Elephas maximus indicus: one gene and its partners. The protein of the gene in region 2 interacts with the protein of the main gene of each other region in a biochemical or structural test. Links are inferred from orthologs where the notes say so. Each region holds a gene or a part of one and is shown on either strand. Other genes may lie near its edges. The genes, in order: CLU, LRP2, DLG4 and DAB1.

Region 1 (7,201 bases), on a different chromosome or scaffold from region 2:
CTTTGTCTATATATATATATATATATATATATATATATATATATATATATATATATATATATACACACACGTATATATGCTTCATTAGTTTTGTTTCTCTAGAGAACCTAGGCTGAGACAATCCAGAAAACCAGAGGGTTGGGGAAGAATCTGCAAACAAGTTACATGGCAAGGAGCTACAAGCAGCCTAAGTACCCTCAAATACTGGAAGAGCTGTCAGAGGAGAGATGGATGGGATTTTCTCTGTGTGTCTCCAGAGGACAGAATTGGGCTTGGTGGCTAACCCTTATAGAAGCTAGACCTTGACTCAACATAAAAAGGTCCTAACTCTATAAGAAGTTTTACTAGAGAACTGTTCTATAGGAGGTAGTGAGCTCCCAGTTATTGATGGTATTCAAACAGAGCAGGATGACCACCTGATGGGGCTGTTGTGGTGAATCAACATAGCTTCACTGTTAATTGTGCTGTGTTGATTGTGGTCTATATTGCATGAGGGCTGAACCAGTCGACCTCTATGATGTACTTACAATATTCAAAATCCAGTGATACCCTTATGACACTTCCAAAATTCATACTTTTTTTCTTAAAGTTTAACCTTCTAAACCTTGTTTTGGGAGTAATCAAATAATCATTCCCAGTGGACCACAGTCATGACTGTGAATAAGTTTATTTTGTCCCTAATCCTTTCTTCCTTTCTTCCCTTCCCCTACTTTAGCTGACTAAGGCTGATCTCCCTGCCTGTCCTCTAAAGTCAGACTTTTAAAAATATAATTATCACAGATTTATGCCTCCTGTGCTGGATCCTGGGGGAGTTGCAGGTCAGATTAGTTACAAGGAGCGAGCTCAAAAACAATTCTTCTGACCTTGGACATTGATACAATAAGGAGGAGGCAGTTCCCATAGAAAATGTAGCTGTTACCGATAGACTTTTTTTAAGGAAAATAAAATGAAGCCTCTTCTTGGGGAAAAAGATTGCTCCAAGATCTCTCAGGAAGTTTTTTCATCCAGGCTGAGCTTTTTCTCACACTTGGCACTGAATCGGGTTAAGGTGAAGTTGTTGTTAGGTGCCATCGAGTCGGTTCTGACTCATAGCAACCCTGTGTACAACAGAACAAAATACTGCCTGGTCCTGCACAATCCTCACAATCGTTGTTACACTCAAGCCCATTGTTGCTGCCATGGTGTCAATCCATCTCACTGAGGGTCTTTCTCTTTTTTGCTGACCCTCTACTTTACAAAGCATGATGTCCTTCTCTAGGGACTGATTCCTCCTGACAACATGTCCTTGCTTCAAGGGGCATTCCGGTTGTACTTCTTCAAAGGCAGATTTGTTCATTCTTTTGGCAGGCCACAGTATATTCAATATTCTTCTCCAACACCACAATTCAAAGGCGTCAATTCTTCAGTCTTCCTTATTCATCGTCCAGCTTCCACATGCATAGGGGGCGATTGAAAATACCATGGCTTGGGTCAGGCGCACCTTAGTCTCCAAGATGACATCTTTGCTTTTCAACACTTTAAAGAGGGCTTTTGCAGCAGATCTGCCCAATGCAATGTGTCTTTTGATTTCTTGAGTGCTGCTTCCATGGGTGTCGATTGTGGATTCAAGTAAAATGAAATCCTTGACAACTTCAATCTTTTCTCTGTTTACCATGATGTTGCTTATTGGTCCAGTTGTGAGAATTTTTGTTTTCTTTATGTTGAGGTGCAATCCATATTGAAGGCTGTGGTCTTTGATCTTCATCAGTAAGTGCTTCAAGTCCTCTTCACTTTCAGTAAGCAAGGTTGTGTCATTTGCATAACGCAGGTTGTTAATGAGTCTTCCTCCAATCCTGATGCCCTGTTCTTCTTTATATAGTCCAGCTTCTCAAATTATTTCCTCAGCATACAGATTGAATAGGTATGGTGAAAGGATACATCCCTAATGCACACCTTTCCTCACTTTAAGCCATGAAGTGTCTTCCTGTTCTGTTTAAACAGCTGCCTCTTGATCTATGTAAAGGTTCCTCATGAGGACAATTAAGTGTCCTGGAATTCTCATTCTTCACAATGTTATCCATAATTTGTTATGATCCACACAGTTGAATGCCTTTGCATGGTCAATAAGACACAGGTAAACATTTTTCTGGTATTCTCTGCTTTCAGTCAGGATCCACCTGACATCAGCAATGATATTCCTGGTTCCGAGCCCTCTTCTGAATCAGGCTTGAATTTCTGGCAGTTCCCTGTTGATATGCTGTTGCAGCCACTTTTGAATGATCTTCAAAAAAATTTTACTTGCATGTGATGTTGATGATATTGTTCAATAATTTCTGCATTCTGTGGAATCACCTTTTTTGGGAATAGGCGTAAATACGGACCTCTTCCAGTCATTTGGCCAGGTGGCTGTCTTCCAAATTTCTTGCCATAGACGAGTGAGTCCTTCCAGTGCTGCATCTGTTTGTTGAAACATCTCAACTGGTGGCGGCTTGTTTTTTGCCAGTGCCTTCAGTGCAGGTCGGACTTCTTCCTTCAGTACCATTGGTTCCTGCTCATATGGTACCTTCTGAATGGTTGAACGTCAACCGATTCTTTTTGGTACAGTGACTCTGTGTATTCCTTCCATCTTCTTTTGATGCTTCCTGAGTTGTTTAATATTTTCCCCATAGACTCCTTTGATATTGCAACTTGAGGCTTGAATTTTTCTTCAGTTCTTTCAGCTTGAGAAACGCAGAGAGTGTTCTTCCTTTTTGGTGTTCCATCTCCAGATCTTAAGTTGAAGAGGACCTTTCAAATCCCTCATTGAATAGGTTGGAGAAACTGAGGCCCAGAGAGGCAAAGAGGTGCAAAGTCACTCAGCCCCCTAGGGGTGGAGCTGGGACTGTAACCAGACTCCCATTCTCCAGGCCCAAGCCTTCTGGCTTCTTCACGTGCCTTCACAAGCTCCCTCTAGGCTGCCTCCTGCATCTATGAAGGAGGGCAAGAAAGGGATGAGGTCCTTGTTGTACTTGGACCTTCAGGAACCAGAGGCTGGGTCTCAAGACTGTACCTTGACAGTCATGAACAAGAAAGGTCAGCCCCTGGACATATAGCTCTCCCCTAAGCCCTTTCATTTCACATGGTTTTCAAAGTGTGGCACCGCAAAGCAAGCTGTTTGTACCTGCTCCATCCACCCTGTGCCCTTCAGTGTCAGAGCAGCCTTTCAGCCCCTTGCCTTCTTTCCTGTTGCTCAAATGCCCTGAGGGTCCAGAGTAAGTGGCTCAGCTTCTTCCCCAAGAAATAGCTGCACCTGAGGGGCTTCTGGGTTAGTCCTCTCTCTGTCAGGGGGTGGGCGGTTGTGACAGGAGCCATCTCCCACCTCCCTGTCCCTGGCCAAAGTGAGTCCACAAACAAGTTTCCTACTTTCAGAAGAAGGACCTTGTGGCAGATAGAGAGGAGAGAGCCCTCTTGGGTTTGCTGCATAATTCGTGGAGACCCAGTGCAAAATGAAAATGTAGGGCCTGTCGTTCAAAAATTAAGAATTTCAAGACTGCGAAAGCAGCACATTAAACCAAGCGGAGGGCTGCATGGGTCCCATGCAGGCAGCCCTGCTTGGCTGGGTCCCTGGTGGGTGGGGACAATAATTATGTATGCTTCTTGACCCAAGCAGCTGGGAAAAGTCCCCTGGTTGCGCAAATTTCTACTCTGTTGATTCCTAAACATATTTCTGTTTCCTCATGGCCTGGCAGTCTGAGAAGGGACAATGTGGTGGTTCAGGGAGTCAGGGTTTCAGTAATTTATTCTTTTCCTTCTCTAGCAAAACCACCTCTCCATTCCACCCTTATTATTTGACACTTTGCTACTTAAATGGGACAACAGAAGTGGTGTGTGTTCAGTGTGAATAATATTGTTCAGTGGGACAGGAGAATTGTGAAATTTTATTTTGGACTGAGAACCAACCAGGAGCGCAGTGGACATGACACCAACTCTGTGAGGGGGCGCTAAGGGTGAGACGCGAGACGCCCAGCTGTGCACACATTAACTAAAGCTCCCTCCTGGGGCGCCATCCTCCTACTCTGCACTCCCTGGGCGGCGCTGCGGCACCGCAGGGTCTATGAAATCTGCGCGCCATTCGCGGTGCCCGTGCGCCCCCTGGAGTCTCGCATCTGGTGCAGCACTGTCTGCCCCTCCACCCACACCCAGCGCAGGCTTCCAGAAAGCTCCCTGCGCATTTCTCGGCATTCTTTGGGCATGAGTCATGCAGGTTTGCAGCCAGCCCCAGAGGGGGTGTGTGCTAGACTGACCGCTATAAATACTGGCGCCCTGACTGTGCTCATCACGCAGCCTCGCCACAAGGAGGAGCGCACGGAAGCCCGGTGCCAGGGACCGGTGAGATGTACTTCCCGATCTTTCCTATCCCTGTGCAGAACCTACACCGGGACGGATGGGCGGGCGGGCGGGCAGGAGGTGGCAGCCATTCGGGGAGGGGATGGCAGGGATGTCAGAGCTGGGCTTAAGAGGGCATAAGGGAGGCCCAGGAACGGAGGTGGCTAGAGCCCGTCACAATGCAGCTGATCCAGGTGCTGAATTGGTGGGGCCCTGGGATGCCAGGGCGGCACACAGGCTGGGCCTCGGTAATGCCTGTGCTCATTAGCTCCAACTACATTTCTGTCGGGTGTAATGATCCTCCTTTTATAAAGATGAGACTTGGAGAAAGGGCTTGGATTGCCCCAGCCCACAGAGCTAGTGAGTAGTGGAGCTGGGGACTGCCTGCAGGCCCTTCCTGCCCCATCTTCCCTGTGAGGGTGCTGATCTCCGTTGTAGTTGTTGGTCTGCAGGTATGAGTCATCGTTTTCTGTAAATTCTGCAGTGCTCTGGATAATGTGTTTGTAAATATGATGTTTTGGATTTATATATATGATGCAGCTGCCTGCATCAGAGAAAAGGCATACAACCTCCTTCAGGCCTCGGATGGCTAATACAACCGTCTCATTTTATAGATGATTCTCTGAGGCCTAGAGGTTTAGGACTTGCTCTACAATTACGCAGCAAATAAGAGTCAGAATTGGTACTAGAATCTAAACCTTCTTGACCTTCCAGAATTTTTGGAACTAATTAAAACTGATTTTTTTAAAGCAATTTTTAAATTCCTTTAAATTTAATTTTAAGAGGTTTTAGGAATTTAAGAGTAAGTACAGGTACTGCAGAAGGATACTCATGAGACTTTTAGTTATAATAGTAGGAAATTAGAGACAAATGCCTGAATTTATGAGAATGGTAAAAATAAACTGGGGCACATCAGAACATAGAATATTATACAACCATAAAAAATATACTTTTAAAGAATATTTGAAGACAGTGGATATAAAGGATCTAATTGTGTAAAAATGCATAGAAAATAGAAGGACATATTAAAAATTAATATTTGCCTCTGGATAGTGTGACTTGTGGATGACTCATTTTCTCATTTTTCGTTTTGGGTTTGGTTTTCTACATTTAGGGAAGTGTTGAGATAGGCGCCTGGTCTCTGGCATCAGGCCTAGGTCTGCAGCTTGCAAGCTGTTCGCCCTCCTTACTTCGCGGTGTCTGGATCCTCCCCACCGCTCCTCTGCACTCTCACTGATCTCTTTAAGCCTCTAATCCCACCCTGCTGGGCCACCTACTGGCTTTGGAGGTGGTGCTTGGGAGCTTTATGGGGGCCGGTGAGTAAAATGCTCTGAGGAGGGTGTGCCTGGAGGAAAACTGCGCTCACAGTCAACCTTATGCCCCTCCATCTCCTTGTCTTCCTTCCTCTTCACAGCTCTGTCACCCACAGGGCCAGCTTTGGCTAATGAAGAAACCAGACCAGGTGGTTTAAGCCTCCTGTAGGGTTGCTATGAGTCAGAATCGACTCCACAGCAGTGGGCTTCTTTTCCTTTCCTTTTTTTGGTTGGGTGGAAGAAGGCTGCGAAGCAGTGGTGGAGAAAGAAGGGCCTTGGTGTAGCTCACCCAGTTAGAGCAGGTGGCAGGCCCAGTGGTTAGGAGCTGACAGAGGAAGCGAGTCAGGGAGGAGCGAGGGCCATTGCTGTAGTGCTGCCCTTGGACCAGCGATATCAGCATCACCTGCAGACTAGTTAGAAAAGCAGACTTGGAGCTTTGCCCTAGACCTACTGAATCAGAATCAGCATTTTAACAAGGTCATCAGGTGATTCTTGGGCACTTTACACTTTGAGAAGCCCTGAGCAGATCATTGGGGAGTAGCCCATGGTTTCCCTAAGGCAAAGCCACACAGACAGAGCAGGGACCACAGGCAGTCTATCTGTGCCTGTTTTGTTTCCTCTGACCCTCTATAGACACATTACCTCCTCCATATACTGCCAGTGAACAGAATTGGTCCTCGGTCAAATTATCAAGTAGTTAGAATTTACGATGATTATATAAGACCCTCGAGTTTATATAAAACACGCTCGCATCTCTGAAATGTACATTATGTCCATTTTACAGATGAAGAAACAGGCTTGGAAATTTAAGTGACTTGGTGTCAAGGAAAGAACACTGGACTGGGAAGAGTTGGGAGGGCTGAGTTTTCATCCTGGGGTTGCCATGAGCTTGCTGTGGGCCTTGGGGAGCCCCAGCGTATCTGGGCTTCAACCTCCCCTCTAAGGCAGAGGGATTGGGCAGGAATGATTTCTTTCCCAGCTCTGAGCTTGATGGCTTATGGAGGTCCCTAGGCTCTTGGTGGGAGACCCTGTATGAGCTACTGAGTCTCTGGACTCCTCATCTAGTACTCCTCCCTTTGACTGTTCTGCCTCCCCTTTCTTCAGCAACCACCGCCCCCCCCCCCCCCCCCCCCCCCCGGTCAGAACCTACCTCAGAGGATCTCGTATAGATTTCTCAGGAGTTGTTGCTGTCAGGGCCCTCTCCCAGAGAGGTGTCTCTTGCTTGCTTTGCCTCTCTGGTATGACAAAGGTTCTGTCCCTGCTTGAGGCATTTCAGGCCTCAGTGAGCAGCAGGCAGAACCTGTAAGACGGCCTTCCCCCATGCCTGAAATAGTACCATCTCCAGCCACCCACCTTGACTTTGGGGAAGGTGATGACCCTGCACTCTTCTCCCACATTCTCCTTCACTCTGTGGGACACCTAACTGCTTTTTGGGAGAGGCTTTCTTTATTGCTGTTCTACCAAGTATACAGATGGGCCTGGTGTTTGGAGTATGGTTTTTTGATGTGAGCAATTTCAGGAAGGGAGAGCATCCTCCTCCCCCT
Region 2 (7,736 bases):
TAAAGGCATCTACAATGTCATCATACTTCATCTGATAAGCAGGATCAATAAAACAGGTATCTAGACCTCAAGCTACCAGCTGAAGACATTCAGAGGACATGTATCTAAAAACAATGAAGGGGAAAGACTAGAAATGCAGAGCTTTCGGTTCAGGTCTTAGAAACCTGAAATGAGTTTCTGAAAAAATACCCAGTTACAAAGCAGCAGGTGGATTTTTGCCTTAAATGGTAAAGATTTGCAAAATGCCCCTCAGCTCCCTTTGTAACCACACACAGTTACAGACACGGTATTAGACAGCATGACATTTTAATACAAAAGAAAAAAGACAAAGAAATGATCAGAGAGATTCATATATCACAATAGTTAAACTATGGACTCCCTTGAGTCTGCCATTTTCTAGCAGTATGACCTTGGACAAGTTACTTAATTACTCTGTGTCTTATCTATAAAATAGGGATAATAAGATACCCACTACTTCAAAGGAGGTACTATTAAGATTAAATGAGTCAATAAGTGTAATGGACCTGTGTGTGTGTGTCTGTCTGTGCACATATATAGATAGATGTTATAGAATGGAAGCTAGATAGATTTAAACTATCAAGAAGAGTAAGTACAGGTTATTTGATGTACCATCAACTCAAGCTAGAGAACATCTGTTTTGGTTGGGGGAGGACGGGTGGGGAGACAAATAAATCCAGCCAAGATTTTCTTTTGCCAGACATTTAAAGAAACATATAGTAAAATCCTGTGGCTATATTTAGGACATGAGTTAAATATAACCCTAAGCAGGGTCTCAGGTTAAGCCCTCAACAATTCTTTCTTGTGTTACCAACACCGAAAAAAGGTGTTCAAAGGAATTGCTAAAGGTCTCCACCTGCCTCCCTTCCCTTTCCAAAGATTTTTGCAACACCATTCGGGCTTGTTGGCTTTCCACACTTCTTCCCAGAAGTCTGAAACGGGTGCTGTTAGGAGGTGCTGTATAATTACTTACTTGATTCCGTCTAAAGAGCTTAAACTAAGAATTGAGGAAAGAAAGCAGATTAACCATTTGAATACATGCCACCGCCCTTTCCCTCCACTCCACCCCACCCCACCCCCATAAGTGGGAGCTTCCACAGTCCCCACCCGTCAACCCCAATATGTGATCCGGGAAAATCAATTTATTGCATTGCCTAATCCTACAACAAAAGGGGTTTCATTTCATTGTAGGACAATTAAGTTGTCCGACGGGAAGGACGGAGAAGGAGGGGAAACGGGGCGCGGGGGGACTCTCTCATCCCCACAGACAGATTAGTCCCGTGGCGGCTGCAGCGTCCGCTCTGTCTGTCTGGTGGTCGGTCACACGCAGCTCCTGGCTGCTACCTAGCAACGCAAAGCCAGAGAGAGAGCTCGCCGGTTCCACTGCCTCCTCTTCACCGTTTCCATTCATCCCTTCTCTCTCTCTCTCTTCTCTCCCTCTTTCTCGTTTTCTCTCTCTCTCTCGTTTTCTCTCTCCAAACTTGCTCTTGTGCCCTCTTTTTCTCCCTACAAATTCGCTCGCTCTCTCTCCAAACTCGCTTCTCTCCCCCTCCTCTCCCTTTTCCTCTCGTCTTGCTCCTATTTATTTCCCTCTCCTCTTCCCCTGTTACTATTTATATTCTCTCCACTTCTTCCTCTCTCTTCTCTCCAGAGCTCTCCAATAACGTAAGAGAAGTTTAAAGACCTTAAGACCAGAAACTTTCTGCATTCGAGCCCTCAAAACTCTGGCCGCGCAGACCGGCTCCATTCATCCACACAAAAGCCCCCACTCCCGGGTTGGAAAGAAAACCCTTTAAGAAAATCCTCCAACTTATCAGCCGCTCTCTCGGCCAATCCCACCTCCTGGCCTTATCGGCTCGTAAATGATCTGTATCATGAGATGCGGTCTCTTGGGGGGTCACCTCAGGACCAAGTTTCGCCGGTGATCGGGGGAGAAGGGGGAGTGCCCTAGCCCGCGGCCCTGGGCGCGCCAAGAGATCTCCCCGGCAGGGCGTTGCAGGTGGAAAACTGCGCTCTGAACAGTGCGAAGGACTACTCAGCCCTGGCGAGAATAAATCCGTGGGGCTAGCAGGTTGGAAACTTGGTGGAGAACCTCATTCTCTGGAGATCCAACTACAAAGTGCTTTCCAGAAAGGTCGGGAAACAGCCCCCCGTGGGAACAAAGACGGGGGCCCCGGTGCGGTGCGCTGTCACTGAAACCCGCGGGGCTGCTTTCTCAAGTTTGCAGCTGCACTGTTGCCGGGGCGAAGGAGGGGCGCTCCCGCTAGCTGCTCGCAGGGCAACCTGAGCGCTCCAAGGGGAGCCGCTCTAGCGGCGCCGCCTGCCCTAGCCCCTGCCCCGCCGCGCTCCCCTCTACCGCCCGCTCGCCCGCCGGCGGACGGACCCAGCCACTGCCCGGGAAGTCCGCGGCTCCGCGTGAAGCTGAGACCGGCAGGCGTGCTTACCTTCGCCGCTGACCGATATCAGGCAGGCGGCGAGCGCCAACAGCAGCGCGCACGCCGCTGCCGCCGTCCGGCGCTGCATCCCTGCGACGGTCTCCGCGCGTGGCCACCGCCGCACCGGCCTCACGGTTCCTTCCCCGGGAGGTGGGTGCGCGTTGCAAGTAGCAAGTAGCAGGCACCACTTTAGGCCCGCACTTCGGTCCGTTCCCGGTGGCAGAAAGTCAGCCCGGGACCTCGAGGCATCCCGTTTTCTACCCGCGCCTGTCCCCACCCTCCAGACAGGGTATAAAGCCCTTTAGAACCGACCGCCCCGGAACTAGCATGCGGGAATCCAGCGGGGCAGGCCCCCTGCCGCCCGGCCCGCCCCCAGCACTTTGCAACGCAGGAAGGAGCGGGTACTCAAAACTCACTCGCGTTCGTACTTGCACACTCCACAGGCACAAGCACACTCACAGGTAGCCAATCTAACACGCACACTGACGCACATACAGTCGCACACACTCCACAGTGATTGGCAAACACAGCTACTCTCACACGTGCACGCACACTCCTCACAGTCATATGCACACACACACAAAGTCCTCATAGTTTCACACTCACACACACACACAGGCACGAGCTACCCTTGCCTGTCTGCAGGATTTTCCTGAGCACTGAAGCGGTTAGGCGGCCCACTGGGGAATCTACCACCCACACGGTCCGAGAAACTAAAGGAAGAATGGAAAGTAATGGGGGGGGGGGGGAATGTCAAAAAGAGTAGGGGAGAGAAGGGAAAGGAAAAGAAAAAAGAGAGAGAGAGAGGTGGAAAGAGAGGAGAGGGAGAGGGAAAGGAAACAGTAAAGGCGCCTACTGGAGGTATTTGTCCCCTCCGTTTCTGGTCTCGAATCCCTTGATTACGACGATTTCCTTCGATAGGGTTGAAGCTACCGAGACAGGGTGCCCTGTGTTTTTAAAAGTTAGGGAGGGGGCTGGGTCCTTGTTTGGCTTTTCTTAGCCACCACAACTGTAAGTGTTAAGGGCAGATTATGATTCTTACAAGTCTGCGTTTTGGGGGGCAATTCGTTTTGAAGTACAATTGAACGAACATCATTTCCTTCGTGCAGATGCCCGTTTGTAGAAAGGAGAAACATATGGGGTTCTGGAAACCCCGCGGCACCCTCCTTGGACAGGCTGGCAAGGACCCGGCCCTGGAGCACTGCGAGTGAACCTTACACTCGCCCTTAGAGAACCGTCCTCAGCCAGTACTTGACAACAGAGTGAACAGAAGAAAGGAGGGTTGGCGCAACCTGTTTCTCTGCCTTGGGAGCCCAGTGTGAGAAGGGGATGTTTGTGGATCTGGAGTCGACCCAGAGTCTACTGCCCAGGTCCCTGCACCAACTCGGTAGCGGAGCCTGGGAATCCTGGTCCAAGGAGTTCGTTGTCAGGAGCTTTTTCCCACAGCTAGAGGCCTTGGAGGCTGCAGCCCTGGCTACACGTGGCCCCTGGGCTGTGTTCCGCCTCCTCGCCATCTCACCAGGGGCGAAAAACCTGCCAGGAACTGCCAGCCCCTTCACTCCAAAGTACCAATCGTCTGGGGCTCTGCTGACCCCAACGGTCCGAAGCGCACAGCTTTCTTTGGCTTCAGTGGTTGGTGCAACTTTGGGCGGGAGGAGAGGGAGGAGGTAGGTGCCGTTTTTGAGATGAGAGAAGGAAGGGAGGGAGGGAGGGAAGGAAGAAGGAAAAAAAAGGAAGAAAGGAAATTCAGAGTATAAAGTTGAGAGAAAGAGCAGAAAGATTTCGTGGCGAGATTTGGAAATCCCGAGTTTTCTGCTCTGGCCAGAGTCTCGAGAACTCTACTTGCCGCGCTGCACTGTATTTGTGCGGCGCCGAGAGGAGGCAGGATTGGGGACCGTAGGGGGCAGGGGGCTGAGAAGCGAGAGGGACGACCCGGGTGGGAGGAGGGGAGCGGTGAGGGGCCAAGATGCTATACTGCAGTCTCCGCGGGTGATTTATGCCGGTTCCGGGCGGCCGGAGCAATGGTACGAAACCGCGCCGGGGTCATGCAGCTCCGACGCCCGCCGGGGCCGCGCTGCATGGTCAATGAGCGTCCCAGCACCCCCGAGTTACAAAGGGCGGCCGCCGGCCCTGGGGAAGCGCGCACTGCAGGCCCGGTGGGAGGGACGGAAGATCGAGCTGGCGGGAGGGGCTGAGCTCGCGCCCAGCGCGCGCGTGGGCGTTGGAGGGTGGAGGGCGGAGGGTACCCGCGCAGGCGTGAGCGCAGGGCGGTGTAAGAGTGCGTGCGCGTGTGTGTGTGTGCGTGTTGTGTGTGTGTGTGTGTGTGTGTGTGTCCTTTCACTGTAGCAGCCGGGGCTCCAAACATTCCTTTCTGCACTGAAGGGTTTTCCTCATTGTTGTCTCTGTGTTCCAGTGTTGCCAACTTACTGGAATTCCTGACGTGGTTGCACAGCAGGGCTCAGGCTGAGCAAACCCGCCAGCTGCGTTAGTGTTTGGGGCCGACCCTGCAGTTAATCCCAGAATAACGCAGGAGGAGGGGGGAAAGAGGGAGGGAGGGACGGCGAGAGGGAGGAGAGCAGAGAGAGGGTGGAGACGGAGAGGACCAACAGAGCCAAGCCAATCATTCTCAACACTGTGTATGTAAACTCACACATTCACGCTCTTTTCTCCTAGAAAATCACATTTTCTAAGTACAGTCTCAATCTTGTGACACTTGAAAAAGCATCTTCTGCAGCCTGCACCATACACGTGTTTATCTCCAGAATCTATACTTGAAAACGCCTCTTGCGGGATTTGGACCGCCATCTGGTAAAGCCCAAGCTAATTTCAACTAAGACTTAAGCCAGCATTATTTCTATATGATGCAAAAGTGTACATTTTCCCCCACATTTCTCTCTCCATGTGTGTATTGCAGGATTTACAGAACATTTAGCCAAAAGAGAGGAGAAAGTGCTGAAAAGTGAAATTTGTCCTAGCAAATTTGTTGATTCCCTTATGTTTTTTGGCTTGCCTGTATTATTTTACTTATTCTCTCAACCCCAAATTACTGGAAATATAATTCCTGTTCCTATCTTATGCTTCCACTTCAAATAAGCATGAAGTTATAAAATCTCCTTAGGTAAAATCCAACCACAGTTCGCTATTTGTCCAACCCAGATTTGCCTCCTGAGTACCACAGAGCCAATTGCCCACTGGACAGCCCCTATTCAGTGTCCCACCACCTCCAGCTCAGCATAATAGAGCCTGAACCATGAACCTCTGGTGGTGCCTATCCCAGAAGTCAAGATAGAAATTTGTCATTCTTGCTCTTCTACATTTACCCCCATCCATGTGCAATCAACCATGAAATTCTGTTATTCAAATTCCTCAATCCACCCATTTGTCTCTCAAATGCACCCACCTCTCTCAACCTCACTGCCAGTAGCCACCAGCCCCTCTTACCTCAGTTACAGCAAGAGCCTTCTAACGGGCTTCTTGCTGTCAGTTCTGCTCCCTCTTAACTATTTTCCATTTTGTAAACAGAATGATCTAAAGTCATATTTCCACCAGACAAGTGCTTACCAGTAGGGACCAGTAGAAGGTTACAAAATCAATTCAGTAGCTCAAGACAAGGATTATTTTCAAATGAATTCCAACAGAATAGGAACTAAAATAACTTTTATGCAGAAAGGATATTTTTTTTCGTAACACTCCTGTTTCAGTTAGGCATACATATGTATATATATTCCTATACATATACTGTGTCACCATGTAAAATATATTTTTATTATGCATCTCAATCAACAAAAGTTTGAAGTTATCTCTCTACAAATTACTTATTAAGGGAAAATAGTAACTTTAAGTGCAGAAATTTAGCGGACACCATATTGACAAAGTAATCAAAGTTAACATAACAATCAAAGTGAACATGACACAAACTAATAGCATATGCCTCCTGATATGACACACTGTGAAGCGCACAGCAACACTTTTATGATATTCCTGCCCAAAATGCATAAGCTGAATCTACTCATCAGAAAACATCAGACAAACTCAAATTCAGAGACATTCTACAAAATTACCTACCTTTTCTTCAAAAATAGCAAGGTCATAAAAGACAAAGAAAGGCTGAAGAACTGTTACAGACTGAAAGAGACTAAAAGAGATATGACAACAAGATGCAATGCACAGTATTGGACTGGATCATAGACAAAGGGGGAAAAAAAAAGCTCTAACGGACATTACTGGGAAAACCAAAACATTTCAATATGAACAATGGATTGAATAATAGTATCATATCAGTGTTAAATTTTCTGATATTGATAACTGTAAAGTGCCTATTAAAGAGGATGTTCTGTTCTTAGAAAATATGCCCTGAAGTCAGAATCAACTCAACAGCCACGTGTTTGGGGTTTTTTTGTTTGTTTGTTTTTTGTTTATTTGGGGTATGATTCTGCAACTTGCTCTCACATGATTAAAAAAAAAGTGTGAGAGCGTGTGTATTAGGAAAAATAGAGAATAATAGGGCAAATGGACAAAGGATATATGAGAGTTTCTTATGCTATTCTTGCAAATTTTCTGTGAGTTAAAGATTATATTAAAAATATTTTTGAAAAACTTGCATTAGATCATAAGTTCTACAAGGGCAGTCTTCTGTTATCTCCCAGTGTTTGCTCTTACTATTCCCTCAATTTAGAACTTTCTCGCCCTCCAACTCTTCCCGCATCTGGTTAATTTCTATTCGGTTTTCTGGTCTTATCTAAAATATTCCTTCCTCCATGATACTTTCCCTGACTTTCTGTACTGAGTTAGGAGACTCTCCTATATATGCCCTAATAGCTCTCTCTACTTCCCTCAGTCCAGCACCTGTCACACTTTTTGTGTCTCCTTGGCCTCCTCAAGGATCTTCTCCCCATTGCAGCAAGAATACTCTTTTTGCAGTCATTAAACCAACCATATGGCTCTCGTGACTATAACTCTTCAATACTTTCCTATTATTCCTGGAATGGAATCCAAAAATGTTAGCACGGCCTATGAGTCCCTGCAGGACCTGGTCCCTGAACTCTCTCCAGTCTCACATAACAGTCCAGCCACACTGGCTTCCACTCAGTTCCTCAAACATACTCTAGGTAGTTCTCAACTTATGATATATTCGAGTTAAGATGAACTGTACTTACAACCATCCCCTTCTTTTTTTTTGGTACATCTTATTGTTAGTAATATATACTACATACAATGTTGCAGTGTGTAATTTGCTAATGTTATCATCCTCAGATGTAATGTTTCCAACACCCAAATATAGGA
Region 3 (7,099 bases), on a different chromosome or scaffold from region 2:
CATCCCCTAGGGCATTGGTGTGAAGCTGGAGACCCACTGCCCCAGGTGCTGCTGGGGGTTGTAGTCTGACCCAGCAGAGAGAAAGGCTCCAGGGAGGAGGGTGAAGGGCTCTCACCTCAGTCACATAATGCAGAATTGCCATGCGGGCCAGCTTCTCCTGAATCATCCCAAAGTTGTGAATTTTCTCCCCAAACTGAGTACGGTTAGTAGCATGATCCACCTGGAAAAGGGCACGTGGGTTACACGGTAGTTCTGCAGTTTCCCAGCAGAGGGGCTGGAGGGAGGGGCTTTGGCCACAGCCAAGGTCAGTCCCCACTGGATGAAAGCCTAAGCTAATAGTTCAGGAGCTGTTTGTGGGGAGGGTTTTGTGGTGGAGGGAGTGCCTGCAAGGGAGTCAGAGGGGACTGTGACTCAGAGTCAGGCTAGCTATAGGGTCGCTATGAGTTAGAATTAACTTGACAGCAACAGGATGGTTGTTGGATGGGGTCCCTATAAGTTGGAGTCGATGGCAACAGTAACAGGAGGGACTCAGGCAGGGTACTCACCACCTTAGCAATGATGCCCTTCATGGTGCCTGCAAGGGCTGCAGCCATGCCAAACCTTCCATTGTTGAGAATGTGCATGGCGACCTTGAAGCCGCCTCCCACCTCACCCAGCACGTTCTCCGATGGCACCCGCACCGCATCAAAGTACACCTCTGCTGTGTTCGAGGCTTTGATGCCCATCTTCTTCTCAGGGGGCCCACTGCGACAGGGCAGAGTAGAGAAGCAGAGTTGTGTTCAACAAGTTGCCAGCAGAGGAGGAAACTGCCCCTTCATGCCTTATGAACCAAGGAGGAACTACAAATCCCAGACTATGAGAGGATACAGGCCACAGTTCCTACGATGCCCAGAGGGCTATAAAGGCTGAGCTATAGAGGCCTGGCTATGTCTTGCTAGTGGGTTGGGCCCACTATTTGCTAGGAGTCCAAGCTTTAAATCGGTTTCATACATATTAGTCCCAACAGGAACATGCTGTCTGCTTTGGCTTTTGTATCCCCCCGCCCCGCCCCGCCCCTGCCAGGGTGACATGTAGCAACCATCTGCCCTGGTGCCCAGTACTGCCCCCTCCTTGGCCCTGCCTCTTCCTCCAACACTCACTGGGTAACACCCCCAAAGCTCTTCTCCACCACAAAAGCTGTGATCTTCTCTTTCGTGGTGCCCGTGGATGCATCTTTAACCGGTGTTTTGGCAAAGACTGTGAAGATTTCTGCCAGGCCCCCATTACTGTAGAAGAATGAGGGGGCAGTCAGGAGGACTGAGAACAGTGGGGCCTGGAATCGGGGAGAGGTGGAGAAAAGGAAGAAATGAGAGGAAAATTGCCTGATCCAAATCTTGCTTCCGTTGAGGGTATAATAACTTCCACAGGGGCTGGGTACAGCTGAGCTTCGGATGGAGGCTGCATCGGACCCGCTGGAGGGCTCCGTTAGACAGAAAGCGGCCATAGTCTCCCCTGTGAAGGGGAGAGAGCACCTTTACCATGGATCCTGATGGGCATCAAAGTCCCCCAACAGCCTGCACCCCTTAACACCTCCAGGAACATTTAGTTCCTTTGCATTTCCCCACCAGCACAGTGAGGCCGCCTGAGACGCTCCCAACCAACATGTCCAGGTGTCTGGTGATCTAAGTGCCAACCAGCCAAATCTGTGCCAAGCCCAGGACACCCCACTCCTTGTCTGTAGGACTGTCTCACCAGATGCCAGTTTGGGGAGGTATTTTTCTTTCTGGGCCTTCGTGCCAAAGAGCAGGATGCCTTTGAAACCGATGCTCTGATGAGCCCCGAGGGTGATGCCCACACCAAGGTCATGCGTGCCCACGATCTCCACCAAGCGGGCATACTGGAGGGAAGCAGGCGGTTGGGCTGTAACTGCCCGAAGACCTCCCCTTGGCAGGAGAGTAGAATGGAGCAGGGCCTGGCCTAGGTCATCCCCACAGTGTGGAAAGAGGGAAGTGGAACCATGGAAAGGGCACAGCAGAGGATATATCTGACCCAGGTATTGGTGGGTGGGCGGCTTCCTACCATTGTCAAGTGGTTGGTCTCCAGCTTAGAGATTCGTTAGGACTTGGGACCCGGGGTGAGGTCCACGGCCCTAGGGAACTGGATGTAATTTGTTTTTGGGGGGTGCCTATACAGTGGGGACAGTCAACATCCCACAGGCCCTAGACAGTTGCTTGGCAGAGACCCAGGGCCCAGAAAAGTGATGAATGCCCTGAAGCTGCCAAGCTGAAGTGGAATGGCATCCCGGGGAATGACAAGGGTACCCCTCACCTGGGTGTTGCAGAGGCCCACGCCACCCAGCTCACTGGGCACTTGCAGACCAAAGGCCCCCAGCTCCTTGAGGCCCTTCAAGGTGGTCTCCTCTACCCGCTCCAAAGCTTCATTCTTGGCAGGATCGTTCACCTCCTGGGACGACAGAAGACCCCACATCCAAGGTCTTTTTATGCCCTACTAGAGACCCAGGCCTCCACTCTCCAACCCCGATCATTCCTCACCTCGAAGAAACGGGACACGGGCCCCACCAGCTCTTTGAGAAACTGAGTCTGCTCCTCATTGAGCACTGCAGGGGGGGAAGAAAGCTGGCGGGGTGAGGCTGCAGACAGGGAAGGCTGCCCTGCCTCCGCCCGGCTTTGATGACTCCTGCCCTTACCAGATGGGTATGGGAACACTTGATTGGTGGTGAGCTGGCCCTTAAACATCCCTGCAGCAAAGGACTTAGATTCCTGGGCAGGGAGAAGGCAGTTCAGGGAGGTGGCTGGGGAGGGGAAGGGTGTCTGCCCCAGCTCAGTTCCTCCCGACTTAGGGGCCACATACCACCTTGGCCTGGCTTTCCTTGGTGGAGGCATCAGAGGAGAGGGAATCTGACTGGTCCACAGCCGTCTAGAGAAAAATGGTTATCGAGGACGTGGACAGGGACTTCGGTGTGCCAAGGAGAGCACGGGGCCCGCTGGGTGCGGAAAAGGGTAGATCCCGCGACCTTTCCCCTAGTTTCATCTACAGGGCACCCTGGCCTGGCCTTTCCCCTATTTTCGGTGCCAGACTGGGTGGCAGGTGACTGGCACGAAGAGGGGGACCCCTGCCGGTGGCAGGGAGGTGGGCCCCCACTCCCACACCCCTCGTCCCAATGCCTCCATCGCTTACCTGAGCAGCCCCACTGACATAAGCTCGCTGGGTCGGACCGGGCCGGGGCTGCCCCAAGAGCGCGCTGGGCCGCGAGCTGTGGGGAGCAGGGGTTCAGTCCCGGTCCAGTCCCCGGGACTGACGTCCCCCGTCCCACCAGATGGACACAGACCTGCCACCCCTGAATCGCAGCAGCTGTCGCCCCACGCTCGAAGCCATCTCAGTCCCCTGCACCTCGGCGCCGCACAGTCCTCAGCTGCCTGGAGCGCCGGCTGACTCCTCGCTTTCGCCCCGCCTCCCAAGGTCCGCCCCACCCCTTGACTTCGTCTCAAAATGCACCGGGAGGCGGACGGGAGGGGTTTCCGGGCCCCAGGGCATGCTGGGGCTGCAGTTCCGCAGCGCCCCCCAGCTCCTGCGGTCTGTTTGACCTGGAGCAGTTCCAAGTATCCGTTGCCTTCCCCAGACTCCTTCTTCCTTTCTGTCTGAGCTAGGGTCTGCTGCTCTGCCCTGCCCTGATGAGATAGGGTGGGAGAGAAGAGGGAGGAACTTAGGCGACTGCATCCAGAGAGATGGAAGGTAGACTGAGGCAGGACTTCCAGGAGGAGTTAGAAGGGAGAGATGAGGAAAGAGTTGTGTAAGATGAACGCCAGAAGCAAGGAGGTTGGCTCTTTAAAGGTCTCTTGTGAAATCTGTCTCTTTCCATCAAAACAAAAGGGAAGAAAATGGCAGGTGAGGGACTGAACTGGAGGTGTGAATGTCCCGAACATATATCCTCCTTAGACCTAGAAGGTGTCACTAACTCTTGAAACACCTAAAACTTCACAGTAGAAAGGACCCTCTGGGCTCACTGCTTCCTGTTTAGGGCCGCTGAGACTTTGTAATCATATCTCTGTCTGTCTGCTCTCTGGCCCTTCCAGAGACCATTGCATCCAGGCTAGACCTCTAGGCAGATACATGTGTCCCAGGCCTGAGAGCAACTGTGGAAGTTCTGGAGTCTTCCTTTCTCCCATGCTTCTCCAGCCCTGGGTCAAGAAGTTCCTGATAATTTATAGCCCTCTTCCCACAATTCCCGCTGGGGACAGGCCCAGGAGGGGAAAGAGCTGGGCTCTGCTTCCTTTCCTTTGTGCTGCGGCAGCCTCCTTTTAGGGAAGACCCTTTTTCCAAGACCCTCAGGAAAGTGTAGCTAAACTATTATGGTTATGGGAAGAGGGAGCCAGGGTGTTGGGGAATTTGCTGTGGTGGTGCCTGGGAACCTGGGGAAAGATGAAACAGCCAGCAGGTCAGGTCAGTTCGGAGATTACCTAACAGCTAAAACTGGGTCAGGAGAAGGCAGCTCAACTCCAATCTGGGGGGATTTGGGAGATTAAAGTGAGAGAAGAGAGATGTCGGAGAGACCAAGAGGTGAAAGACAGGGGTTCTTGTGGGGAGGCCCAGGGGGTGGCCTGGGGGCTGGGACTCTGGGATCCTTCTCCCCAGTCTTTCCTTGGGGTCTGGGGTGAAAGGGCAAAGGGTGGGGGAGATGAGGTGAGTGTTTGGCTCTGTCTCTGGGCTGGTCTCTTCCTTGCCCCAAGCCTCCCTCACTTGCGTTTTACCAGCTCCCAGGTCAGCTCTCTGGCTCCTGGCCCCTCCACTACTGTGGTGGGCACCCCCGCTCCTCACAGTGCTGCACAGTGATCTCTTTCAGGCCTTGCTGGGTGAGTAGCCCCAATATTCTGAGGGACAGAGGTGGAAGGGGCTGAGCATGGACTTCAGGGTTAGTTGGGAGCCCGGTGCAGGTCTTCCCGGCAGTGTTCTCCACCAGCGTTGATGAGCAAGATGATGGCACAGGTGGCCCGAGAATCCCAGAATGGAGGAGAGTAACTCAGTTCTGTTTCTGTCACAGACATCCTGGACTATTATGAGGCCTCCATCTCAGAGAGTCAGGTAAGGAGGTGAGTGGCTGGCTTCTTGAGGGAGTAGGCAGGGCTGAAGGGGTGAGGGAAGTATTGCTCATATTACACTGAAACTTGGGGTCCTGGGTGAGAAAATCCTGAGTCCAGGTCTAGGAGCTTGGGGACACTGAAAATGTACCTGCTCCCATTCTGTAGCCCTTTCTCTCTCTTGCTTCCCTGTTTTCTCTGCCTGCCCCAATTTCAGGCGCTAAAGAGTTCAGGGCATACATAGTTACCTTCCTCCTGGGAACCCTGAGGGCGAACCAGGCCCCCAGGGATTCTCCCCTGCCAGCCCCTCCTTCCCCCTCTACCTCCCACCATGGTCACCCGCCTGTATTTGAACAGTCGTGGGTGCTCCCAGCCAAACTCTAGGTGCTTCCTCCCCTAAGAAATGAAATCCCTCATCTTTGTCTTTGGTAGCTTCCCTGGTGGCTGCCAGGTCTCCTCATTTGCCTCAGGGCCTCTCTGCTTCTGCTTCTAGCTCCTTTCCCATTATCCGGGTTCCTGCCAGCACCGAAGGAGTTAACTCTGTCAAGGCACCCCCCCCCATTCTCGCTCTTCGCTCCCTCCCTCCCTCCCCCTGCTTCCTCTCTCCTCCTCTCTCCCTTTCCCTCCTCGGCTCCACGGCTCCCTCGGCCGCAGCCGCTTCCAACCCCCCCACCCCACTCCCCCGCCACGGCCCCTAGGCCCTGGCTATTAGGCAAGACTCCCCCAATCCCGGGGCTCCCTGAAATCCAGTTCCCCTCCCCCATCCCAGCTCATGCCCCAGCCCCCGAACCCCGGGGCTGCCAGCCCCCGCTGCCCCCGCCCCTCCTGAGAATCGGGGTGTGCTCCCCAAGCCCCTTCCCCTCCACTGGGGACCCCCTTTTAGGGCCCCCTTCCCCTCCCTCCCACGCTCCCCTACCCTTCCCTTCTCCGACCTCCTCTTCCCCCTCTCACCCCTCCCCCCATCCTGGCCCCCCCTGCAAAAGTGGGGTGCGGAGGGGGGAGGGGTGAGAACCCGCGGAGGGGAGGAACGAAACTCCGATGAAGTCAGAGCCCCTTACCCGCCGCCGCGGCCAGGCCCCCCAACATGGACTGTCTCTGTATAGTGACAACCAAGGTAAGCGTGATGGGGGGGGGCTATAAACTGGGGGAGGGTAACGAGTTTGTGGGGAGGGGTTAGATAGGCCTAATCTAGGGGTGGCGGCGCTGGAGTGGGAGCATCTGAAGTAAGATGAATTTCGGGATCATAATTTAGTTTTGGGGTTCATATATCAGAAAAAACTGGGTTTGGCCACAGGTGCTCTCTGGGGTGATCTCTTTGTACCTGTAGAGAAACGGAAAATTTAGGGTGTTGCATGGTTTTGGGAGGATCTGGTGGATTTGGGGGTTCACCATTGATGCTTGCAGGAGACTTATTTAAGGAGAAGCATGGCTCACATGGAGGCTTGTGGATGTTGGAAGGTGGGCTAGGTGTAGGGTGGCCCTCTTGCCTCCTGGGGACAAGCTGGCTTCCAGATGCCTTGTCCAATTTTGGGGGCTCCTGTGCGTGAGGCTAGATTATTGGTTGTGAGTTCCTGACTGGTCTGGGGGTGTCAGCTGGTAGGGAAGGGGTGGGCCTTCAGCCATAGAACAAGATACATTTGGGGATGCACCCTCAATTTGAGGGCACTATTAATTTTTGGATTTGATTATATGAAACGGGAATACCTGGGAGTTGTCAAGAGGACTGGGGCCTGGTAGGGGAATCACCTGAGGGAATGAATGGGAGGTTAGGATTTTGGTTACCCCCATGGGAGGCGGGTTACTGCAGCAGTGGTTGCCAGCTCCTGAGGAGGAAGATGAGAGGTTTGGGGAGAGAGGGGATTTAAGGAGGGAGACCAGGTGGGTGGTCTGAAATCTGGGGTGGCCCAGGCAGGTGCCCAGTATCCCCATCTCCTCCCACATTGCATCTACCTCTGGTCCAGAAAGAGGAAGAGCAGATGGAGGGGAATGTTCCTGCTACCCCTGACGCTTGGGATCAAGATGGG
Region 4 (7,579 bases), on a different chromosome or scaffold from region 2:
AAAAACTATTTAATAAGCAGTGATTGTGTATAATTTGTGTTTGGAGACCTCAAAGCTTATAGCACAAATTAATTATATTATACCCCATCCAATGAGAGATATATTTGAAAAATTATAGGAATAAACAAAATTTTAAATAATGTGGAATACACAAATGGGCTACTTTGCATTCCCCTCTTTGGAGGAGTCGATACTACTATTGTTGTTAGGTACTGTCCAGTTTGTTCCGACTCATAGCAACCCTCTGCATAATAGAATGAAACACCACCCAGTCCTGAAGCAGCCTCACAATCCTTGCTATGTTTAAGCCCATTGTTGCAGCCACTGTGTCAGTCCATCTCGTTCAGGGTCTTCCTCTTTTTCACTGACCCTCTACTTTACCAAGTATGATGTTCTTTTCCACAGACTGGTCCCTCCTGATAGCATGTCCATAGGACATAAGACAAAGTCTCACCATCCTCTCTTCTAAGGAGCATTCTGGCTGTACTTAATTTGTACTACTATTAGGATTTATGATTTCTGACATTTGGTTTTGCACTCTATGATGGGTCATTCTCAAACAGCACTTACCTGAACTGCCCCTCTGAGTATCTTGAGAAGCATGTGCACAGGGATGGATTATGTAAAGTTCAGTAAAGCCCTTTTTCTCTCATCTGCATGCTACTCATGCCCATGTCCTTTATGCAATTGACTCTGAGCTTCTCAGAGACAGGATCTGTTTCTGATTTATCATCATTTTTCACAGTGCCTAGTATGGTGCCTGATACATAGAACATACTCCATAAATGCTGTTCAATTAAAATGAACGATTTCGGAATTATTCTGGAAAGAGAACCAGTGTTTACTGGGTGATTTTTTCAGTACTACACTTATCCAAGAGGCTATCTCATTTAAGGCTCACAGCAATCTCATGAAGCAGGTATTATTCTCCCTATTGGTGGCACAGTGGTTTACATGTTTGGCTGCTAACCAAAGGTCAGCAGTTAGAATCTACCAGCTGCTCCATGGAAACCCTACGGGACAGTTCTACTCTGTCCTATAGGGTCTCGACAGCCTTTTTTTTGGGGGGGGGTGGTGATTGTAGAGTTGAGAAGTTTGAAATTAAGAGAGGTAACTTACCAAAGACAACTCAGGAGCATCGGATTCCAAAGTCTATATTCTATCCACTACCTACCAATAAGAGTAGGACCTCCTTCACTCAGCTGTTGTGAAGGTTAGATGAGTCAATATATGAAAAATACCCAGAATGGTGCCTGGAAAATAATAAGCAATATGTACATCTTTGCTGTTATTCTTCTTATTATTTTGCTGTTTCTCAGAGTAGGTAATAAAGAACTATTTATTGATTTTTCATTTTGCCATACGTCATACAAATGACATTGCTATTAAAAAAAAAAAAAAGAACAAAGGAAAAAACACCCTAGCTTTTAGATGAATTGTTTCTTGACATCTTTAGAAAATAATAACTTAAAATATCACTTAAAAATTTGGTTCAGTTTTTTTCTAAAAGACCATTTGGCCCTTGCTGGGCAGCTTGTGAGCAGTTAGCACCTATATATTATGCTTTCTTCCAGCCTGGACTTGGAAACAGCTCTGGCTTGTTGCCCCTGTCAGATTTCATGGGCGTTTGCCCAGTATCCATGCTGGACTTTGTCTAACACTGAATATAGAGTTTTGCATGAGATTCTTCCCTTTATAGTCCTTAACCAAAACCAAAACCAAACCCAGTGCTGTCGAGTCAATTCTGACTCATAGCTACCCTCTGGGACAGAGTAGAACTGCCCCATAGAGTTTCCAAGGAGCTCCTGGTGGATTCGAACTGCCTACCCTTTGGTTAGCAGCTGTAGCACTTAACCGCTACGCCACCAGGGTTTACCTTTATAGTCCTTAGCCAACTCAGTATCACACATTTCCTTCAAAGTCTGTCATCATAACATCAATTTAAATCAGGACAAGGTGGAAGGCAGGTAAAGGGGACAACTCACACATGCAGGCCTTGTATGTGGGGTCCCTGGGTGCGGGGGCGGAATAAGCGAGGTATGCATGGGCTTACGTTAAGCAAGGCAGGCTTACTTGTGTTTACTGACTAATCCGTAGCGCATAATTTCACCACATCTGGTGAAATTATGCACTGAGGATTAATAAGTAAACACAAATAAACCCACGCGTACCTTGTTTATTGGGTAATCCGTCCCTGCTTGGGTGGTACAAAGGTTAACACACTTGACTGCTAATCAGAAGGTTGGACATTCAATTCCAAGCAGAGGTGCTTTGAAGAAAGGCCTGGCGATCTACTTCCCAAAACTCAGCCATTGAAAACCCTATGGAGCACAGTTCTACTCTGACACACATGGGGTTGCCATGAGTCAGAACTGATACTAGTATTATCAACTGGTACTAGATCAGTCAACTGGTACTCGTATAACCTGTTGCCATCAAGTCAGTTTTGACTCATAGTGACCCTACAGGGCAGTGTAGAACCACTGCACAGGGTTTCCAAGGCTCTAGGTTAGCAGATGAATGGTTAACCACTGCGCCACCAGGGCTCTGGTAGGTACTAGTATAATAAATAATTTCATGTTCCCCAGCTGCCCTCAAAGCACTGAGAAACCTTGGAGTGTTTCTTAGTAGAGTCAATGAAAAGTTGGAGCTATGTTCCCTCTCCCAAGATTTGACATTTGTCCCAACCACCTGAGGTACTTAATGATTTTCTTTACCTCCCTCCCCATTTCAGCCATATCTTGTCTGATTTGTCCATGTCCCCTCAATTCTTCCTGTTGCATTCAGCTTCCCATGGTCTGTCTTTGTGGATGAGGAAACTGATGAATTTTGTTAATAGAATTGCCTAGCAAGCTTCAACTTCCTACTTAATGAATCTCAAGTGTTACTTTAGAATTAAATTCCCTAGGATTTTGGAAGAGTTTGAGAGATTTGAGCCTGTTTCCTGGGACCCCACTGTCCACGGTCACAAACAGAAGTAGACAGGAACAGAGTTAATATCAGGGATGGCACCCTTCCCCCCACCTTGTTGGGAGTTTCTTCTGATCAACTCTTTCCCCAAGATTGCATCTTGCCAGTGACCTCACAATTTTTTCTTGTCTCTATGTAAATGGCTATCTTTTCAGGAGGTGCATGACAGCCTCCATTTGCATGGGCCTCCATTTATACAGAAGCTGTTATTACGGAATGAGTTTAATGGGTCGTGAATTTTGTGGAGAAAGGGAGGGTCTCTCGGTGACTTTGTATGTACCAGCCACAGACCTATTGACTCCACGAGAAGTGCATTAGGCTAAATATTTTTAGCCCATTGACTCTGGAGGTAATAACCCTAAATGCTTCATTAAATTTTCATGGGTGAGCAACAGCAGCTGGGGGGGGGGGGGAAGAAAAACAAAACCAAAACAGCACGTTAGCTTTATTATTACACAGCTGGAGGACAGGAGTGTGGCCCCTAAAAAGTGGAGAAATAAACTTTTCAAGAAACTGTTGTCTGCCTTTTCCTTTCCACCTCCCCGCCCTGCTATGACAGGACAGCACTTGATTTGATTTTTCTCCCCTGCATCTGGCTTCTGGAAACTGGGGTGCCACAAGAGGCATTTGCTGGAGTTGAATCCAGTCTCAGGATAGGAGAATTTTCGAACTCTCAAAATACGTTCTGCGATTTGGAGTTCCTAGGATCTTTGGAAGTGAGGACCTGAACTAGGGAACGCCTGAGTGTACTCGCTGGATTATTCTCCTGCGCAGATTGTGTTCACTGATCTAATCTTAGGATTGTTCACTCGCAGGCATTCTAAGAATGAAAAGAGTGAAGGTTGAAGGGCGTGGACCCCTCCCAGGGACTGATGAAAACCTGACAGATGCCAGCTTTTTCCCTTATAGCCAAACTTTGCCACCGAAACCTCAGGTACTGCAAGAGCGCTGAGCCAGGGTTGGCCGCTGGGAACGAGCGTCCCCTCTTGCAAAGGTGCGTGGGGGCAACACACCGTCTAGGAACCTCCCTGGGTTTTTTTCCGCTCACTGGCACTCTTTATATTTCCAAAGGTGAATGTTGGAGGCTTGGATAAAAGAGAAGACCCATGAGAAACATGAGGGATGCCGGGCGGGGGCTGCTGCTGGTGGTGGGATAACGGCGAAAACACTGGATACTTTGTGAAAGTGGAGTCTGATGGCTTTTTACCCCTCCTCCGCGCCGCCGCAACTGGGGCGGGGACCCTGTGCTCGCTGCTCGGCTCTCCCCCTTCCCGCCGGGATGAGGAGTAAGCGCTGGGGCTCCAGAGGCGCGACTGCGAGCCGCGGCGCCCCCGCTCGCTCGCTCTTGCTCTTCCTGGTCGTCACCGAGACTCGGCTAAGCTCTCGGAGTGCGCTCGGGAGGCGCAGAGAGCGCCTCAGTGGGAGCGGGAGCCGTGAGGCCAGGGGAGGGGCGCGCCGGGCGGCTACGCGGGCGGCAGCGGGGGAGCGAGCAGGTGAGTCGCGTCGCTGGGCGCCGGGCCGGCGCGGGGGCCGCGGGAGGAGGCGGGTCTGCGCGCATGGCGGTCTCCTCCCCCTGCTCTGACGCCGGGCCCACGGCTCCCAGGAGGATGGACCCAGCTCCGCGCTCGCCGGGGCTTCCCCGGGCTGGAGAGCGCGCCTGAGTCCCGTCGCCCGCCGGGCATGGGGAGCCCCTTCCTGGGCGGCTGCGGCAGCGGAGGAGGATGCTCTGGGCGAGCCGAGGTGAGGCGCGGGGAGGGCACGCGGCAGTCGGAGTTCAGCGCTGGCAGGTGGCCTGCGGGTACACATCGCCGGGACGCGGGGATGGCTCCGCCGGGGTTCCGGCTCCGGGAGGCGCGCCCCTCTCGGGAGTTTGGCGTGGGGCTCTGCTGGGATTGCGACTGCAGCAGTTTTCTGCTCGCTCCTTCCACTTCCTGGGGGCGGGGGTGAGGGGAGCGGAGGAGAAAGGGGAGACCTTTGCGCCTTCCTCTTGGGTCCTCCCTATCTCTCTACTTGTGACCACTCGCGATTGTCTCTCCAGACTTGTCCATCGAAGACACTTGGTTCTCCCTGGGACCCACTGCGCTCATTCCTGCGTCCCCGGGTCCATCTACCCACAAGCTTTCCTTCTTCCACTTCAGGATCTGCCCTGTGGTCCCGGGCGCTTCTCCCTGCCTCGCTAGCGGCGCTCGCCGTCGGGACTTTCTTCTCGCCCGAGCCCTGATCTTACTTCCCTACTCGCCGGAGCGCTGCGGTTCTGTTCTGAACTATCTGGTAGACGGATGTTTCCCAGTAACCGCAGCCCTTTTGCTGACACTGTCAGCTTGGTCTCGCTTCCCCTCTGACCCTAGCCTTCCCCGAGTCCTTCAGCGACTCAGTTCTGACCCGCCTCGCCTCACTTCCACTCCCCGGGCTTCCTGCTACCCGAGGTCTCCCCACGCCTTCGCTCCCCTTTTCCTTCTCTCTGCTCTGGACTCAACGCTCTGCCTCGGACGTAGAGCTCGGTTTTTTTTTTTCCTTCTTCTTCTTCTTTTCCTACTGGGGAAACTTTAAATCACCGTGGTTCGGCTCATAAAGGAGCCACAAAACGGGGTCTCAACCGCCGAGAGAACCAGAAGTCAGGGAGTTAGAGCTGGGGGAGATGATACCGCGGCGTCAGAAAGGGGCCATTGGCCAAGTGGACGGAGTAAATTTGAAAACCAGGGTGGCTGCTGCAGCCGGGACTCTCTCCTCCCCCGCTGGCTCTATCCTGCAGAGTGTTAATTGTGACCCCTGGTGGGAGGGCGCGTTTATTTTCCGCACTTTTTAAGGCTCTTTGTGTGTGTGTCTCTGGTGAACTGGGATGGGGGTGCAGGGGATCACGAGAGAAAGCTGCCCCGCGAAGCTGGTGACACTTGTCTCCTGCGTTGCCCCCTCCCGGACTTGCCAGATTGTGTATGTTTCACTCTGTGTAAACTACCGCCCACCCCAACTGCATTACACAAGTCCTCATTGTTGGGGGTCTGCCTGGGCACTTCCGCCTTGGCTGGGTGAGTGAAGGAATGGGGCGGGGGTGGGGAGACCAGGGACGCTGGGCGACCACGGTCGGGCTCTCGCTGGAGGCTCGGCGTGGGCGAAGTGCGCCGCGGCGCGGGTGTCTGTCCGCTTGGGTGTGTGCCGACGAGGGTGGGGTGCGTGCCTGCGTGGGTCCGAGCCTGCGTGTGCCTTTGGATGCCGACACACGCCTGTGTTGAGCCAAATTAGAAAGAGGGGCGAGTCCAGAGCGTGATGAAGCGAGAGCGCCTTTCAGCGTCCCGGAGCTGGCCGAGCGAGTCCTCCAGCGCCAGGGAGGCTACAATGCGTCTCCTGGCGAGCCTTCGGGGATCGGAGGAAGAATTCTCGCTGTTGCTTCTCCCTCCTGCCTGCTCCCCTCCCGCTGGCCCGTTAGACACCCTTTCACAATGTTGGTGGTTTTGAATAAAGGCCTTGTGGGGGTTCCACTGGCACTTTATAACGCTTAACATGTTTTCAAGTAATCATATAAATTAAAGGTGGCTTACGTTCAGAACCCCATAATTACCCGGTTCACGTTTGTACATTTATGTGCCAATTATAGGTCTTCGGGAAATGCATAAAATTATAAACTATCCCCACCCCCTGAATTAGCACCCATTGTTTTTATTATCTCAGCGATGAGTGATTCTGGTTGGAACCCTAAACTGCTCAGTCAAGAAGATAGAAGGGGGAGGGGGAGACGAGAGGTTGGATGGGGTTAGGAACGTTTTCCCCCATCTCTTTCACTCCCTGTCTGGAAGAGGTTTGGTGACAATTCTGAAAACTAAAAGGGATCAAAGATTTATTTTATTTCCTATTGAGAAGGGCTACTGAATCAAAGGTATATAAAAGTCAACTTCCAGGCAATCAAAATTGTCTGCTGATATCGTTGATTGAAACCCCAGCATTCAAATGGAGCATTGAAGAACTCAGAGAAATGGCTTTTGAAGCACTATTGTTCTTTGCCATACACAGAGGCCTGTTAGAGGTTTTGGAAGTTCAAAATGCAGTGATTTGAAAAGATTGACATTGTAACTATTAGGCAAAGATGGGAGGATCTGCAGGGCTGAGAGAAGAGACTGAGGTGGGAAGCGCAAACACGTTGTTACTATCTCCTTGAGAACAAGTGCCACTATCAAGTAGAAATTCAGTCCTACACAGCAAGTTGGCAATTAAATCTCTTCCTAAAGCAGATTTAGACGATGATTTTTAGTGGATTTTTTTTTTTTTGGTGGTTTGCTTAAGGTCTGAATAGGCATATCTGAAACATTTAATCATGTTCATTGTATTCAACAATAAAATCTGAATAAAAATTACTTATTGTTGATGAAGCTCATCGCACAAGCTGTTTCACAGTATGTTTCATTTGCAAGGCTTACCATTGTGTGAGGCTGCTGGGAAGAGATCGTATCACTTATTGTTCATTTTCTCCTCCAAAAGCCAGAGAAGAATGTGCTTTTTCGCTTCTCTTTACCCTCCAAAGTCATTTTTTTTTCTCAAATGGGTGGGTGTTTGGCTTGGCACCTGACAGTACCCAACTTAAAAATTGCATTTGGTGGCTTTCTGATGCCTTGAGCCA

Evidence for each region.
Region 1: the proteins of LRP2 (region 2) and CLU form a complex in vitro, tested with the Homo sapiens proteins (3 studies listed by BioGRID). The link is inferred for Elephas maximus indicus from reciprocal best matches to the Homo sapiens genes LRP2 and CLU.
Region 3: the proteins of LRP2 (region 2) and DLG4 form a complex in vitro, tested with the Homo sapiens proteins (2 studies listed by BioGRID and IntAct, with this or other methods). The link is inferred for Elephas maximus indicus from reciprocal best matches to the Homo sapiens genes LRP2 and DLG4.
Region 4: the proteins of LRP2 (region 2) and DAB1 form a complex in vitro, tested with the Homo sapiens proteins (2 studies listed by BioGRID). The link is inferred for Elephas maximus indicus from reciprocal best matches to the Homo sapiens genes LRP2 and DAB1.

Annotation. Positions count from the first base shown.
Region 1 is NC_064840.1:45,514,733-45,521,933, forward strand, and holds the start of CLU (clusterin), read left to right. Parts: upstream 1-4,194; 5' UTR 4,195-4,209; coding exon 4,210-4,347; intron 4,348-7,201.
Region 2 is NC_064824.1:67,491,968-67,499,703, forward strand, and holds the start of LRP2 (low-density lipoprotein receptor-related protein 2), read right to left. Parts: upstream 3,014-7,736; 5' UTR 2,542-3,013; coding exon 2,463-2,541; intron 1-2,462. UniProt on the Homo sapiens protein: Multiligand endocytic receptor. Acts together with CUBN to mediate endocytosis of high-density lipoproteins. Mediates receptor-mediated uptake of polybasic drugs such as aprotinin, aminoglycosides and polymyxin B.
Region 3 is NC_064837.1:13,634,371-13,641,469, forward strand, and holds the start of DLG4 (disks large homolog 4), read left to right. Parts: upstream 1-4,086; 5' UTR 4,087-4,349; coding exon 4,350-4,440; intron 4,441-4,751; coding exon 4,752-4,850; intron 4,851-5,038; coding exon 5,039-5,079; intron 5,080-5,748; exon of another isoform or gene 5,749-6,159; coding exon of another isoform or gene 6,160-6,189; intron 6,190-7,099. Other genes in the region: ACADVL (very long-chain specific acyl-CoA dehydrogenase, mitochondrial), read right to left, coding at 116-220, 546-744, 1,140-1,265, 1,362-1,491, 1,732-1,876, 2,308-2,442, 2,532-2,596, 2,687-2,759 and 3 more. UniProt on the Homo sapiens protein: Postsynaptic scaffolding protein that plays a critical role in synaptogenesis and synaptic plasticity by providing a platform for the postsynaptic clustering of crucial synaptic proteins.
Region 4 is NC_064821.1:101,487,950-101,495,528, reverse strand, and holds the start of DAB1 (disabled homolog 1), read left to right. Parts: upstream 1-4,568; 5' UTR 4,569-4,710; intron 4,711-7,579. UniProt on the Homo sapiens protein: Signaling adapter of the reelin-mediated signaling pathway, which regulates the migration and differentiation of postmitotic neurons during brain development.